Saccharomyces cerevisiae S288C: one gene and its partners. Changing the gene in region 3 together with the main gene of any one other region gives a genetic interaction. Each region holds a gene or a part of one and is shown on either strand. Other genes may lie near its edges.

The links.
Region 1: mutations in YOL036W (region 3) and ALK2 together harm fitness more than expected from each alone (negative genetic interaction), as found in Saccharomyces cerevisiae (2 studies listed by BioGRID).
Region 2: mutations in YOL036W (region 3) and STB1 together harm fitness more than expected from each alone (negative genetic interaction), as found in Saccharomyces cerevisiae (2 studies listed by BioGRID).

The regions. Positions count from the first base shown.
Region 1 is NC_001134.8:205,372-209,724, forward strand, and holds ALK2 (protein kinase ALK2), read left to right. Parts: upstream 1-1,822; coding exon 1,823-3,853; downstream 3,854-4,353. Other genes in the region: bifunctional glycerol-3-phosphate/glycerone-phosphate O-acyltransferase SCT1, read left to right, coding at 1-446; LAA2 (Laa2p), read right to left, coding at 736-1,578; YBL008W-A (uncharacterized protein), read left to right, coding at 4,038-4,277; HIR1 (Hir1p), read left to right, coding at 4,282-4,353. UniProt on the Saccharomyces cerevisiae protein: Serine/threonine haspin-like protein kinase involved in cell cycle regulation.
Region 2 is NC_001146.8:50,771-54,620, forward strand, and holds STB1 (Stb1p), read left to right. Parts: upstream 1-1,891; coding exon 1,892-3,154; downstream 3,155-3,850. Other genes in the region: putative SCF ubiquitin ligase complex subunit SKP2, read right to left, coding at 1-918; ZIM17 (Zim17p), read right to left, coding at 1,137-1,661; KRI1 (Kri1p), read right to left, coding at 3,352-3,850. UniProt on the Saccharomyces cerevisiae protein: Involved in the regulation and timing of MBF-dependent transcription in late G1 of the cell cycle.
Region 3 is NC_001147.6:254,971-259,530, forward strand, and holds YOL036W (uncharacterized protein), read left to right. Parts: upstream 1-1,774; coding exon 1,775-4,060; downstream 4,061-4,560. Other genes in the region: YOL038C-A (uncharacterized protein), read right to left, coding at 1-51; PRE6 (proteasome core particle subunit alpha 4), read left to right, coding at 367-1,131.

The DNA of each region.
Region 1 (4,353 bases), on a different chromosome or scaffold from region 3:
AGGAAGAAGATCGAAAAACCTCAGAATTGAATCGCAGGAAAATGCTAAGAAAACAGAAAATAAAAAGACAAGAAAAAGATTCGTCATCACCTATCATCAGCCAACGTGACAACCACGATGCCTATGAACACCATAACCAAGATTCCGATGGCGTCTCATTGGTCAATAGTGACAATTCCCTCTCTAACATTCCATTATTCTCTTCTACTTTTCATCGTAAGTCAGAGTCTTCCTTAGCTTCGACATCCGTTGCACCTTCTTCTTCCTCCGAATTTGAGGTAGAAAACGAAATCTTGGAGGAAAAAAATGGATTAGCAAGTAAAATCGCACAGGCCGTCTTAAACAAGAGAATTGGTGAAAATACTGCCAGGGAAGAGGAAGAGGAAGAAGAAGAGGAAGAAGAAGAAGAGGAAGAAGAAGAAGAAGGGAAAGAAGGAGATGCGTAGATGCCATTTACTGACGGTGAAGATACTAGAAACTAAATCTTTCGCCGTTCTATTTATGTAATAAACCCATTATTGCTCATTGGGAGTTGTAAATATTAATGCTCAATGTTTATGTATATCCCTCGCACAGGGGCTTTTTATTTCTTGAGGGGGGGACTAATTGTATAATTGTATGTTTTATAAAAAAGTATATTGCTCTTTTACGACTTTTGGTCTGGTCCCCTATGCTACTAATAACATTTTATTCTCTTCAAACTTCAACGTTCAACCTGCTTTGCCGAGACGGCGATTAGTATCCTACCCAACTGAACCTTTTCTTTTTGTTTCGCTTTTTGTTATACAATGCAATTTCGTCTCGCTGTAGTCTTTGGGTATGTCCTGTCAAATTCGTCACTACATTTTCAAAAGTTGTCTTATCCTTTAGGAGGTCTCGCTGTTGTTTCTTCAATGATCTTGATTTACTAACCAAAAAGTCAATGGATTGACACAATGTATCGTGGTATTGGCGTAAAGATTCTTCATCCATACTAGTAAAATCTGCCATAAGCAATTGCGGTATATGCTGCTCTTGCTCACGCTCCTCTTCCTTTTGAAGAGATTTTAAAGTCATTGGTGGTGTATAGTCAATTTTGAAATTATCCCTCAGGAAGAGACCAGTAGCCGTTTGCTCATTTTTCTCCACTGCATCGCATATCCTTTTGAACAACTCATCATTCAACGGTTCTTCCTCCCTCTTCGTACCAACACCCTCAGAGCCATTATTATCCGATAATCTCAAAATGTGGAGCAAGTTTCTGCGTATATGAGATTTATTCCATATGAATGGCTGTAACACAGGATCTAATTGTACGAGTTGTTCATAAATGACATGGGGTCGTTCATCTTCAATAAGTTTGCTCAGCTTGAAACAGTCATTCTTTATGGTTTCTTCTTCCAGGTCAAATTCTCCCTTTGGTAGTATCTTATTCAAGCAGTTATCTACTACAGATTCGGAAGACGTCGTTAAAGTAGAATTCTGGTTATAGAGGTCATTTTCAACTGAGGCATCTGAAAAATTCCCAAAATCATCACTAGAATCACTTTCTGCATCTAATGCATTTGTGACAGGTTCTATCTGATCTCTATCGCTCATTTGCTTGCTTTGAAAGAGGTGCCTTTTTCTATCTTGCTACACCTTAAATTCTCGTTTGTGATACGCCTAACGTTTTTTTTTTTTTTCAGTTTTGATAGCAATTCGCGAAACTTTTTGTAACATCTTCTCTTCTCGAAAAGCGAAAATAGTAAACAATAACTTAAAGCGTATTGGTATTAATATATTTAGTTGTAGTAAAATCATTTCACCAAACACACATACATGCGCTATTTGTATTGAGAAAATGAATTTTGATGCGGTAGCAGATCAACAGATGACTGACAGAAGGTATTTTGCTCTCGAAGTAGCAGAAAGCGATGATGCCGACAGCTCATTAAATTCTTCATCCATGGGAAGCCCCGCAGTGGATGTAGGAAGAAAAGTTTACAAAATCACTTCGCACAAGGGTTCAGCAGAAGATGAGAGTCAATCCTTTTTTACTTCTTCAGATTCTCCAACATCCAAAACAAGGCCTGTAGGTAAAACCATCGAAAACGATGATTACTATGGTAAAAGATCTTCTACAGGTTCATCGCTCAAACAACTCTTCAATAAAATTAATATTAATGATACCGCTCACTCTTCAAACAAAGAAAATGTATCTCAGTCGGTGCTATCGGAAAACAAGCTGCTCTCTCCATCTAAAAGGTTGTCGAAGCAAGGTCTTACAAAGGTGACTAACTCCAAGTTTCGTACACCCTTGAGACCTATTTCAAACCAATCGACTTTATCAAGGGATGAGCCTGTTAAAGATTTTAGATCACTTAAGTTTCGGAGCGGTAGTGATTTCAAATGCTGGGGTGACGAGAAGACAAGTTCTCATGTTCATTCATCCAGTGTGAACTCAGTTAATTCCTTTACTTCTACCACCTCTTCTTCAAAGTGGAAGTTCTGGAAAAATGATAACCTATTGTCGAGGTCGCTATCTTCCAGATCTGTGAATGACCAAGATCCGAACTTTGTTCAGCCAAAACCAACCAATTCGTTACAAAAGAAGTCTTCAATTTCAAGTTTTCACAATTCTATTTTTGGTGGTGGCAAACACACAGAGAAGAAGAGGAATTCTGGATTTATTATGCCCGATCATCAGAGCACGAAGGAGCTAAACCACAAACATTCATCATCGAACCTTTCCTTTAGAAGTTTGAAGCATAAAACATCACATTCTTCACTAAATAAGCTCAAAGTAAGGCGTAAAGGAAATACACAAGAACTGAATCATCCGATCAAAAAAACTTGCCAAATATCATTGCCTGTTCCAGACCAAGTCTCAAAGGACAAGATTCAACTGAAATTGAAAAATTCAACATCATTGGCATCCTTATCTTCAGAAGTCACTCCCATAAACACTTTGGACTACAATGATTCAATTTTGCAACAAATATTACAACTTTGTGATGTTAAGTATATATTACATGATCTACGTGAAGCTCAGTCATTAGGCTTGTTTACGTTGAATACTAGATCGGTTCAGCTGTCTCATAACTTTTGGCAAACTTATCATAGCGATATGCAAACTTCACTCATTTGCAAGAAAGTATGTCTAGGGGCTCTAAGTGATTTGACTACTTCAAACTTGATATCCTTACATGAATTGAAATCATTACGGTTAATACAAGGAACTAGCGGTGTCGCCAATTTACTGCAAGCTTATGTTGTGCCCTCAAATCAATGTGAAAATGACCAAAACTTGATACTGTACTTATTTTTCAAATACCAGGGAACTCCTCTATCAAGGTGCTCTAACATTGATTACTCTCAAGCATTGTCTATTTTCTGGCAGTGCAGCAGTATTTTATATGTTGCTGAATCCAAATTTCAGCTCGAACACAGGAATCTAACTTTGGACCATATTTTGATAGACTCTAAAGGGAATGTTACTTTAATTGATATGAAGTGCTGTCGTTTCTTGAATATAGACAACAATAAGGCTTCCTATACAAGATTAGACCATCATTATTTCTTCCAAGGCCGGGGGACTCTTCAATTCGAGATATATGAACTGATGAGAAGCATGCTGCCTCAGCCAATATCCTGGGCTACATTTGAACCAAGAACAAACCTATTATGGTTATATCACCTAAGTAGCAGCCTGCTAAAAATGGCCAAAAAAGCCGTAGTCAGCGGCGCTTTGAACCGGGAAGAAAATATCTTAATCGAGTTGACGCACTTACTCGATCCTGCTCGAAAACATTCCAAAACAATTTTCAAAAAGGAACTTGTTATAAGAACTTGCGGTGATTTGTTATCTTTGAAGGGAGAAATAATGCAGTAAAGACATCGTAGTAATAAGGTGCAAGCTTTTGTATCCTTCTTAATGATTTGTAAGCAAAAAAAAATTACGTACATCAATTTGTAATGGAAAGGAAATAAATAGTATAATATGAACACTCTTTCTGAGAACAGTTATCTTTAGCTTGCCCCACAAACTGAAAGCACATTTTTAAAATGTTTTACAGATGAAAATGAACCCTTGTACTGTTATCCTCTGTAAGTCGTTATTTTTCTTTTGCCTTTTTCAGGTTGACTGCTACTGTAATCGTAAGAATATTCAAAATCAATCATCTCGCATCGCAACAAAAATAAAACGAAGTTACTGGTTTAGGTGGCAGAAACATATAATATTGGCGAACATTCATAAAATAATTAAGGCTTACCAACGAAGCATAATAAAATTGCCAGTAACCAAAGGTCTCTGATAACATGAAAGTGGTAAAGTTTCCATGGTTGGCTCACCGTGAAGAATCGCGAAAATATGAAATATACACAGTCGAT
Region 2 (3,850 bases), on a different chromosome or scaffold from region 3:
CAGTATTTTCAACCTTGGCAGAGAATAATACTTGGATTCGTATTCTTTGACAAATTTTTTGGATAGTTGGAAAGTCCTCAAATCTTCGTTTGTGATGGATTGCTGGCCCTTGATTATTTTCTTGAAAAAATCTCTAGATCCATCGTTGAATACAGAGTACCATAAAGGAATTTTAAAATTCGGTTCCACATCACTCAGAATCACTCTGGTCAGGTTCGGTAGATAGTCTATAATATCAAGCATTAGCTCAATATAAGTATAATGGAAGTAGTTGCTTTCCAATTTATCAAGCAGTTTGATTCGTTCTGAAGTTATGATGGGAGTCTCATCGTTTAGTCTGATGTTATTCAGTTTTTTTACGTCTTTATCATACGAATCGAGTTTATAAGATCCAGCAATAATAGAATCTTGGCCACTCTTATTATAGAACTTACTGTATTTTAACAACGAGTCTTGGGACTGAGGATTTTTGAATTCGATGGATCTTACGAGGAACCTTGCATTTTGTGATCTAGATTGTGTGCTACAATCACCGCTGTGTGTGACAATGTTCGACGTGTGGAACTCGGAGTGTATCAAAGCATTGAACTTTAACAACGAAAGTTTTGAGTCCAAAATAACGTTTTGGAAAAGGAACTCATTCGTAATCAAATTGTAGAACCTCGAATTGACTTGGCATAGTGTTACTAATGTATTGAAGTCCAAAGTTCGCAGTATTAACAGTAGAACTTTTGTTGGCAAACACATGAGGGACGATTTATCGTTGAAGCGTAGTGATCTCGATTTGATATCATGGCTCGTACTATGTAGAAGGCTTTTGGCATCAGCACAGCCCTCTTCCTCTTCTTCTTCCTCCTTCGCAGCACTGGAGACCAGCGAGAAATATTTTGATCTACCAAACAATTGCAACCGTTTCATGATTCGGTTGGTTTGAACGTTTGAAAATGCGGTTCAACTTTTCATATCTAGCAGTGGCTCATCTTTATGTACTCTAGTCCTAAATCTTCTGCTGGTTATCGCAAAAAAATATGTGATGTGCGGGTTTTTGGCAGTAATCATGACTCAGTCTCTGGAAAAACGTGCTATTTAACGGTTATATATCTATCTATGTACATGCCTGTGCATGAGCTCTTCATTCATTTCTGGGAAGGGTGAGGGAGCTGGGATGCATTTTCTGAGTTGTTCTTGGCATATTTTCCCAGGACGTCCTTTAGCGAATCTGGGATGTCTTCAAACTCCAAGTCGCCCACGTCTTGGCTAACTTGTTCTCCGTTAGCTTTCATTAACTGTTCCACGGTAACATGATGATCATGGAATATTTTCAGATGGTCTGCTATCAAATGTCTCACTTTGCAGTGCGGACAAGAGATCAAGACAGTACCTTTCTCGTACGCCTGCTTGGACATTGTGTGTGAAGATCGGGTGTTACATTTCTTGCAGGTGAAAGCTATCATCATCTTAGGCTTGTCTACCTTAAAAGACCCCAAATGAACCTTCTTATCGTCCTTTTTCACTTCATTATGTGCGATGATATTGGTATGCAACGCTGCTGCGGGTAGAGTACGGCACACGTTGTAGCGTACGCGAGGCGCCCAACATCTGGCAAAGTACCTGGTAATTGGTATTTTACTTTGCAGTAGTGTTCTAGTCCTCGGAATCATGTTCAGTCTCTTGATATTCCAGTTGCACCGGTGCTGCTTTAGTATCGCTGATCCCTTGAAGCCAACATGACGCTCTTTCACCTTTCCTCTCATAATTTTGATATCACGCGAAAATGCAAGAAAAAAAAATTACAATTATGAAGTGCAGAAGGAACCAAAAATATCATCGAAAGAAGGAGTACGTAGAGCGTTACTATTTTCAATCAGTGTTCCCATTGTGCATACAAGAAATGTCTCAACCCCAGATGTCCCCTGAAAAAGAGCAAGAATTGGCCTCCAAGATTTTGCATAGAGCTGAGTTGGCTCAGATGACGCGTCAATTAAAGCTTGGTTTAAGTAATGTCCCATCAACAAAACGAAAACAGGACTCTACAACAAAGAAAAGAAGCGGAGAGGATGCCGAAGATGTTGATGAGGACCACAAAACTCTTTTGGAAGCCATATCGCCTGCGAAAAAGCCTCTCCACGATGATACAAATAAAATGACTGTTATATCGCCCGTAAAATTTGTAGAGAAGCCAAATACTCCCCCAAGTTCACGCCAACGAAAAGCCGAAGACCGCTCACAGCAGATCAAGCCTAGGAAGGAGGACACTCCATCTACTCCGAGGGCTTCTGCTACACCTATAATCTTACCACACGCTTCGTCACACTACCAGCGCCCCCATGATAAGAATTTCATGACGCCAAAACGTAATAATAACAACAGCAGTAACCATAGCAATAACAATAATAATATCAAGAAGAAGGCAGCAGGCTCTAAGGATGCTCCACAGGACAGCGACAACACTGCGGGCGCTGATCTCTTAATGTATTTAGCCACAAGTCCATATAATAAGTCATCACATCATGGAACACCGATGGCCGTAAGGATGCCCACTACTCCACGCTCTTATCATTACGCGTCGCAATTGAGTTTGAACGGTAATACAGCAAGCACATCAAACGATGCAGTAAGATTCTCTCATATCAAACCTTCAGCGTCTTCTCCGCAGTCCACTTTCAAATCTAATCTGTTACCGAATTTTCCGGACGAATCTCTCATGGATTCTCCATCACTATACTTGAGCAATAATAACGGTAGTGTCCAGGCGACACTATCGCCACAGCAGAGAAGAAAGCCCACCACAAACACATTGCATCCACCTAGTAACGTACCTACCACGCCTTCAAGAGAATTGAACGGTACCAATTTTAACTTACTCAGGACGCCCAACTTCAACATGGGAGACTATCTGCATAATCTTTTCAGCCCTTCACCAAGGGTCCCCGCCCAGCAGGGAGCGTCAAACACGTCAGCTTCAATTCCTTCTGTTCCAGCGATGGTGCCCGGATCATCTTCCAACACTTCTGCGATAGCAACAGCTGCTATATCAAGCCACACCACAAACAATTTTCTAGATATGAACGCAAACGGGATCCCGCTCATTGTAGGACCCGGCACCGACCGTATAGGCGAAGGGGAGTCCATTGATGACAAACTCACTGATTGATCGTTGACGGCCATATCAGTTGATGATTCCATACTTCCTGAAATGGACCACTCAAAGGGACAAAAATGACAAATGTTGAAATTATAAAATTACATATTAATACGTAAAATGACATTCTTTTTTAGGGAAATTCGGAGATAGATTATCACTATGTAAGCTTATGTATCGTAATATACAGGGCCGATATTTCACCTAGTTTACTTTTTCTGGTGGCCTTTATGTTTATGACTGTGCCCCCTCTTGTGTTTGCTTTTAGAGGCTTTCTCTACAGGTATCAGTATGGTGTCCTCATCCTTCTCCCCTGCCTCTGCTTCGACTGGAGCTAACCCATTTTCGTTCTTAAAAGTTTTCTTCCTCCACTCTCTTAATCTTCTTGCCTTCATCACTTTCCTTTTATCCTTCGCTCTTAGTTCCTTGGAACGATAAGGTGCAAATTTCTTCAAACCAATAAATTCATTTAAATCAGTATCATCGGCGGCGAAAATCTCTCTTGCGGTCAAACCGAAACTCTCAGGAGAAACTTCACGGTAACGAAACTTCAAATCTTGCTCCTCTTTTGTACGGCTTCTACTCTTTCTTTCTTCTTCTTCTTTTTCAACCTCCTCTATTAGTGCTAGTTTGTTTTGTTCCAAAGCATTTTCCACTAATTCATTTACCTTTCTCTTTTCTTTCTTCTTTTGCAGTTTCTCTTCTTTC
Region 3 (4,560 bases):
GAATAAATTTGTTGTAGCCGCTTTCCTCAGGAAGGACCCCATGTATTTCATCAAATCATATAAGTTGAATATCCCATCAATTGCGTACCTAGTACTTAAATAAAATACTCACGTCGCTTTCTTTGAATATTTGGAAATGAATTGAGACCTAGTGTGCTGTGTGCCCTTGTTCATTGACGATTAAAGCTTTAAGGACCATTACTATGGGTAAGAATATCATCCGGGCAACGGTATTTCTTAATCTTTTCGAAGATTCTTTTGCCACCGGAAGGGAAAGAAAAGACATCATATATAGGTGGTAGCAAAACCTTCAAGTTAGTGCTCAGCAGTTCATCAGGATCAGTTGCATAAACACAATTACACAAAATGAGTGGTTACGATAGAGCTTTGTCCATTTTCTCCCCAGATGGACACATTTTCCAAGTGGAGTACGCCCTGGAGGCGGTAAAGAGGGGTACCTGTGCTGTAGGTGTCAAGGGTAAGAATTGTGTAGTATTGGGCTGCGAAAGAAGGTCTACTTTGAAGCTGCAAGACACTAGAATTACGCCTTCCAAAGTTTCCAAAATTGACTCGCATGTGGTGTTGTCATTTTCTGGTTTAAATGCAGATTCCAGAATTCTTATCGAGAAGGCTAGAGTGGAGGCCCAAAGTCACAGACTAACGTTGGAGGATCCCGTGACGGTGGAGTATCTCACACGTTATGTCGCTGGTGTGCAACAAAGGTACACGCAGTCAGGAGGTGTTAGACCATTTGGTGTGTCGACGCTGATTGCCGGCTTCGACCCGAGAGATGATGAACCCAAGCTTTACCAGACCGAGCCAAGTGGTATATACTCTTCGTGGTCCGCTCAGACCATTGGGAGAAACTCCAAGACGGTACGTGAGTTTTTGGAGAAGAATTACGATCGCAAAGAACCACCAGCCACAGTGGAAGAATGTGTCAAACTTACTGTAAGATCTCTGTTGGAGGTAGTTCAAACAGGTGCAAAAAATATTGAAATCACTGTTGTTAAGCCGGACTCAGATATTGTTGCGTTGAGCAGTGAGGAAATTAACCAGTACGTCACCCAAATCGAACAAGAAAAGCAAGAGCAGCAAGAGCAGGACAAAAAGAAAAAATCTAACCATTAAAAACGGCGATATATATTGGGCATAAAACCTATATAAAATAACAGCAATAATAAAAATGCAAAATATAACATAGCACGGTATAGTTAGCTCATATATGTTTTAACGAGCCTTACATTATATCATTTAATACGATCTCATGTTTTTCGGATTTCGGATCTCGCCAAGAAAACTTGCTGATATAGAATGGAATGGAATGACTTCAAAAACTGCCCACTCATAAAGTTTGCTTCTTTAAATTGAATATATATTCACAGTCCGATTTGAAAAGCTTACCATCTGCCACACGCATTCTACTCCCTAATTTCCACACACAGTGTTTTTGTTTCTATAAAGAAAAAGAAAACCAAAATACTGTACTTTTTCCCATAATTTTCTTTCCATACGCCTATATGCCCATACTTTGCCCGGTTTATCGAACAACGCTGTGAATTTTGCGAGTCATAAAAGACTTATCGTACCATTATACCCCATTCATTATCAAAACATTATCTTATTTATATATCCAATTTAAAATCCTGTTTTTTAAGAAATAATTTCCAATACATTATTATAACTTATTGATACCTATTTAGAATCGATATTTGGTCTTTTCTTTGAGAAGAAAAAAGAAAAGAAATAAAAAAAAAGTTCACAAAAGTTTGTCATGGAACACCAAGATAGTTCGCCACCTAGATTCAGGAACTCTGGCTCTAATAGAGTCACTGTGTATAACGGTACTACCCTGCCTACGATGCCCAAGAGCGCCACACCAACATCGAGCTCAACAACAGTTACTACGCATTTGCAAAATATTAAGGAGGAGGAAACAAACGATGACGAACTCACCCAAGTGGATCGTTCATCTCCTCGTGTTTTGGGGAGGATCTCCTCTACGTCCTCATCTTCATCCAATATTGATTTGCGCGATAACTTGGACATGTTACACGAAATAGAAAAATCAAATACTAATATTTCTTTATCAGCTCCTAATTTGCATGAGGAACTGGGCGTTCTCAGCGATAAAGGTAACAGTAAAGAAGAATTGGCTTTGTTACCACCTTTACCTCACACAGGAGAAATGGAAATCACTCCACAATTTGATATCAACGAGGCTATTTTTGAACGAGATGACATCAGCCACTCTTCAAGGCTAGAACCAGATGACGTGTTAACAAAGTTAGCGAACTCTACTCGAGATGCTACGGGTGAAGATCAGGGGTTTGTTGTCATGACTCATGGCCACGATGCGTCGACAAACGACGATTCGCAATTAAGCGCTACTATTCTTGACAATCAGACGTCATTTGATCTTTCTAAAGCTCTAGAGATGACTAGCCATTCAAATATTTCTAATATTATTAATAGTTCCGGTTCTGAGGGAAGACGTTCAAGGACACCGGTAAGCAATTCCACTCTGAAACCAAATTTATCATCTCCTGAAAGCGCAGAACGTGAAGCAAACACGACTTCGTCCTCCTCTACGTCGGATCACGGGGCAACAATGCAATATGATCCCAAGAAAATAATAACTCCAATTCCTGTTTTACCTTCCTCTGTCCGTGAACAGCAACAGAACAATGCACCTTTGAGAGAAAGAAGCAGATCTAATTCTAGTGCACTGGCATCTACACTGAGAGATACGATCATTTCAGGACTGCCTCAAAATATTAATTCTGTAGAAAGAAAGTTATCAAGGAAGAGTAACAGGAGTAGGAAGAATACGGTGACTTTTGAAGATCGTCTTCAGAAATTGCCACCCTTAAGCACCCAAATTTCGAACCAGTACGCCAAGGTAGCACCAGCTGAGAACAATATCGCCTTACACTTTCATAACTTACCTACACCAGTATCAAACACTCAAACGCCTGTTACGTTTCAGTCTGAATCCGGACTGACAGGGGGAGAAAAGAAAATGCCTTTTTTGAGAAGAGCATCTAGTGCCCTATTAAGAAAGACATCTGCCAAAAATTGCTCCAATTTAACCAGAACAAATACACCTACTTTATCGACATCCTCAACATTTGAGTCAGATCTAAATGCTCGGCAGCCCATGCTAATTCGACGATCTTCCACTATTGATAATAAACTACCTAGGAGGCAGCTTTCGTGCTCGAAGCTTTATTCGCGCCTCAATTCGGACAGCAAGTTTGCGAATAGCAGTCGAGCTTCGGAGGAGGTCTTAGTGTCCACTCCAAATGACACAGAACACGTCTACAGAAAGACATCTCTAGGTTCTAAGATAAAGAGAGGTTTTACTAGAATATTGAGCGACAGTAATAATAGTAAGGAAATTCTCACTTTATCACCCAAATCTATGGTGACTACGGGGCCTACAGAATTGTCGTTTTCCTCTTTATCAACCGTGGGAGGACATCCGACAACGCCAGTCTCAAAAGAAAATGATCGAGTTTCAATAGATGGCGTGAGTACATTTAATCGAGCATCAACATCTCTTCCAGAATCATCAACAGACGACATCTCTCCACTACGCGAAGAAGGTAAGATTAATGTTCCTAAAAGAACGTCAAGTAGAAAGATACTGTCTAAAAATTCAAGCAAAAAAAATGTACTGCCTGAACAGCAAACAAAGCCAAGTGAAATATATCTGGATAAAGAAGCCTTACAAAGTTTTGTTCCCGTACTCTCTGTCACAGAGGGTACTCATCGCATCAATCGCTCGTCGTTACAAACGCAATCTACCATCGGATTATGCATTACCAATTTAAGAAACAAAGAAGGCATGAAGCTCAATGCCAAGGAATACGTGGAAATCCTGGCTCAGCAGCAACGCAAGGAAGATGAAAGGTATGCTGTTTTGGAAAGAAAATTTGCATCTTGTAGATGGTGCAGTGATAAGGACCTGCAGTATTTGAAAAAGAAACGAATTTCCATGAATAAGATATGGTCTGATTATGTCCGATTTTACCGTGGAAAGTTGAACAACCCATGAAGGAAAAAGGTCTTGGCTATATATAACGGCAGACAAAATATAAGTATACACGTATATATGGTGGTAAACACGCATATACTGTATGCCATGTATTTACCATTACATAGTTATTTACGCACTCTATAAAAAGTTAACATTGCATTTTAATAAATTCCTTAAATTACTCTAATTAGGATGGTAGCCCTACCTTTTTTTTTTTTGGCACACATGGTCAACTTTTCTTCTCATGCTTTAAAAGGCGAGAAAAAATGAAAATTAGCAAAATGACCTTTCCCTCCTTCCCACATTGAATATATACACTGGAAGATATAAGCAACCAGTACTGTAGATAAAAAAGATCACTACGATATTCGTCGGACTCCAGTCGGAGTGCAGTGCCCGATTACTCTTAATTGCACGCATCGTGCCAAGTTTAATTGGTATTGCTCGAACATCTAGGAATAAGAGAAGGACTTACTTTAGAATGATGAAAGAGGTAGCAATTTGCAGCAGATTTTTCG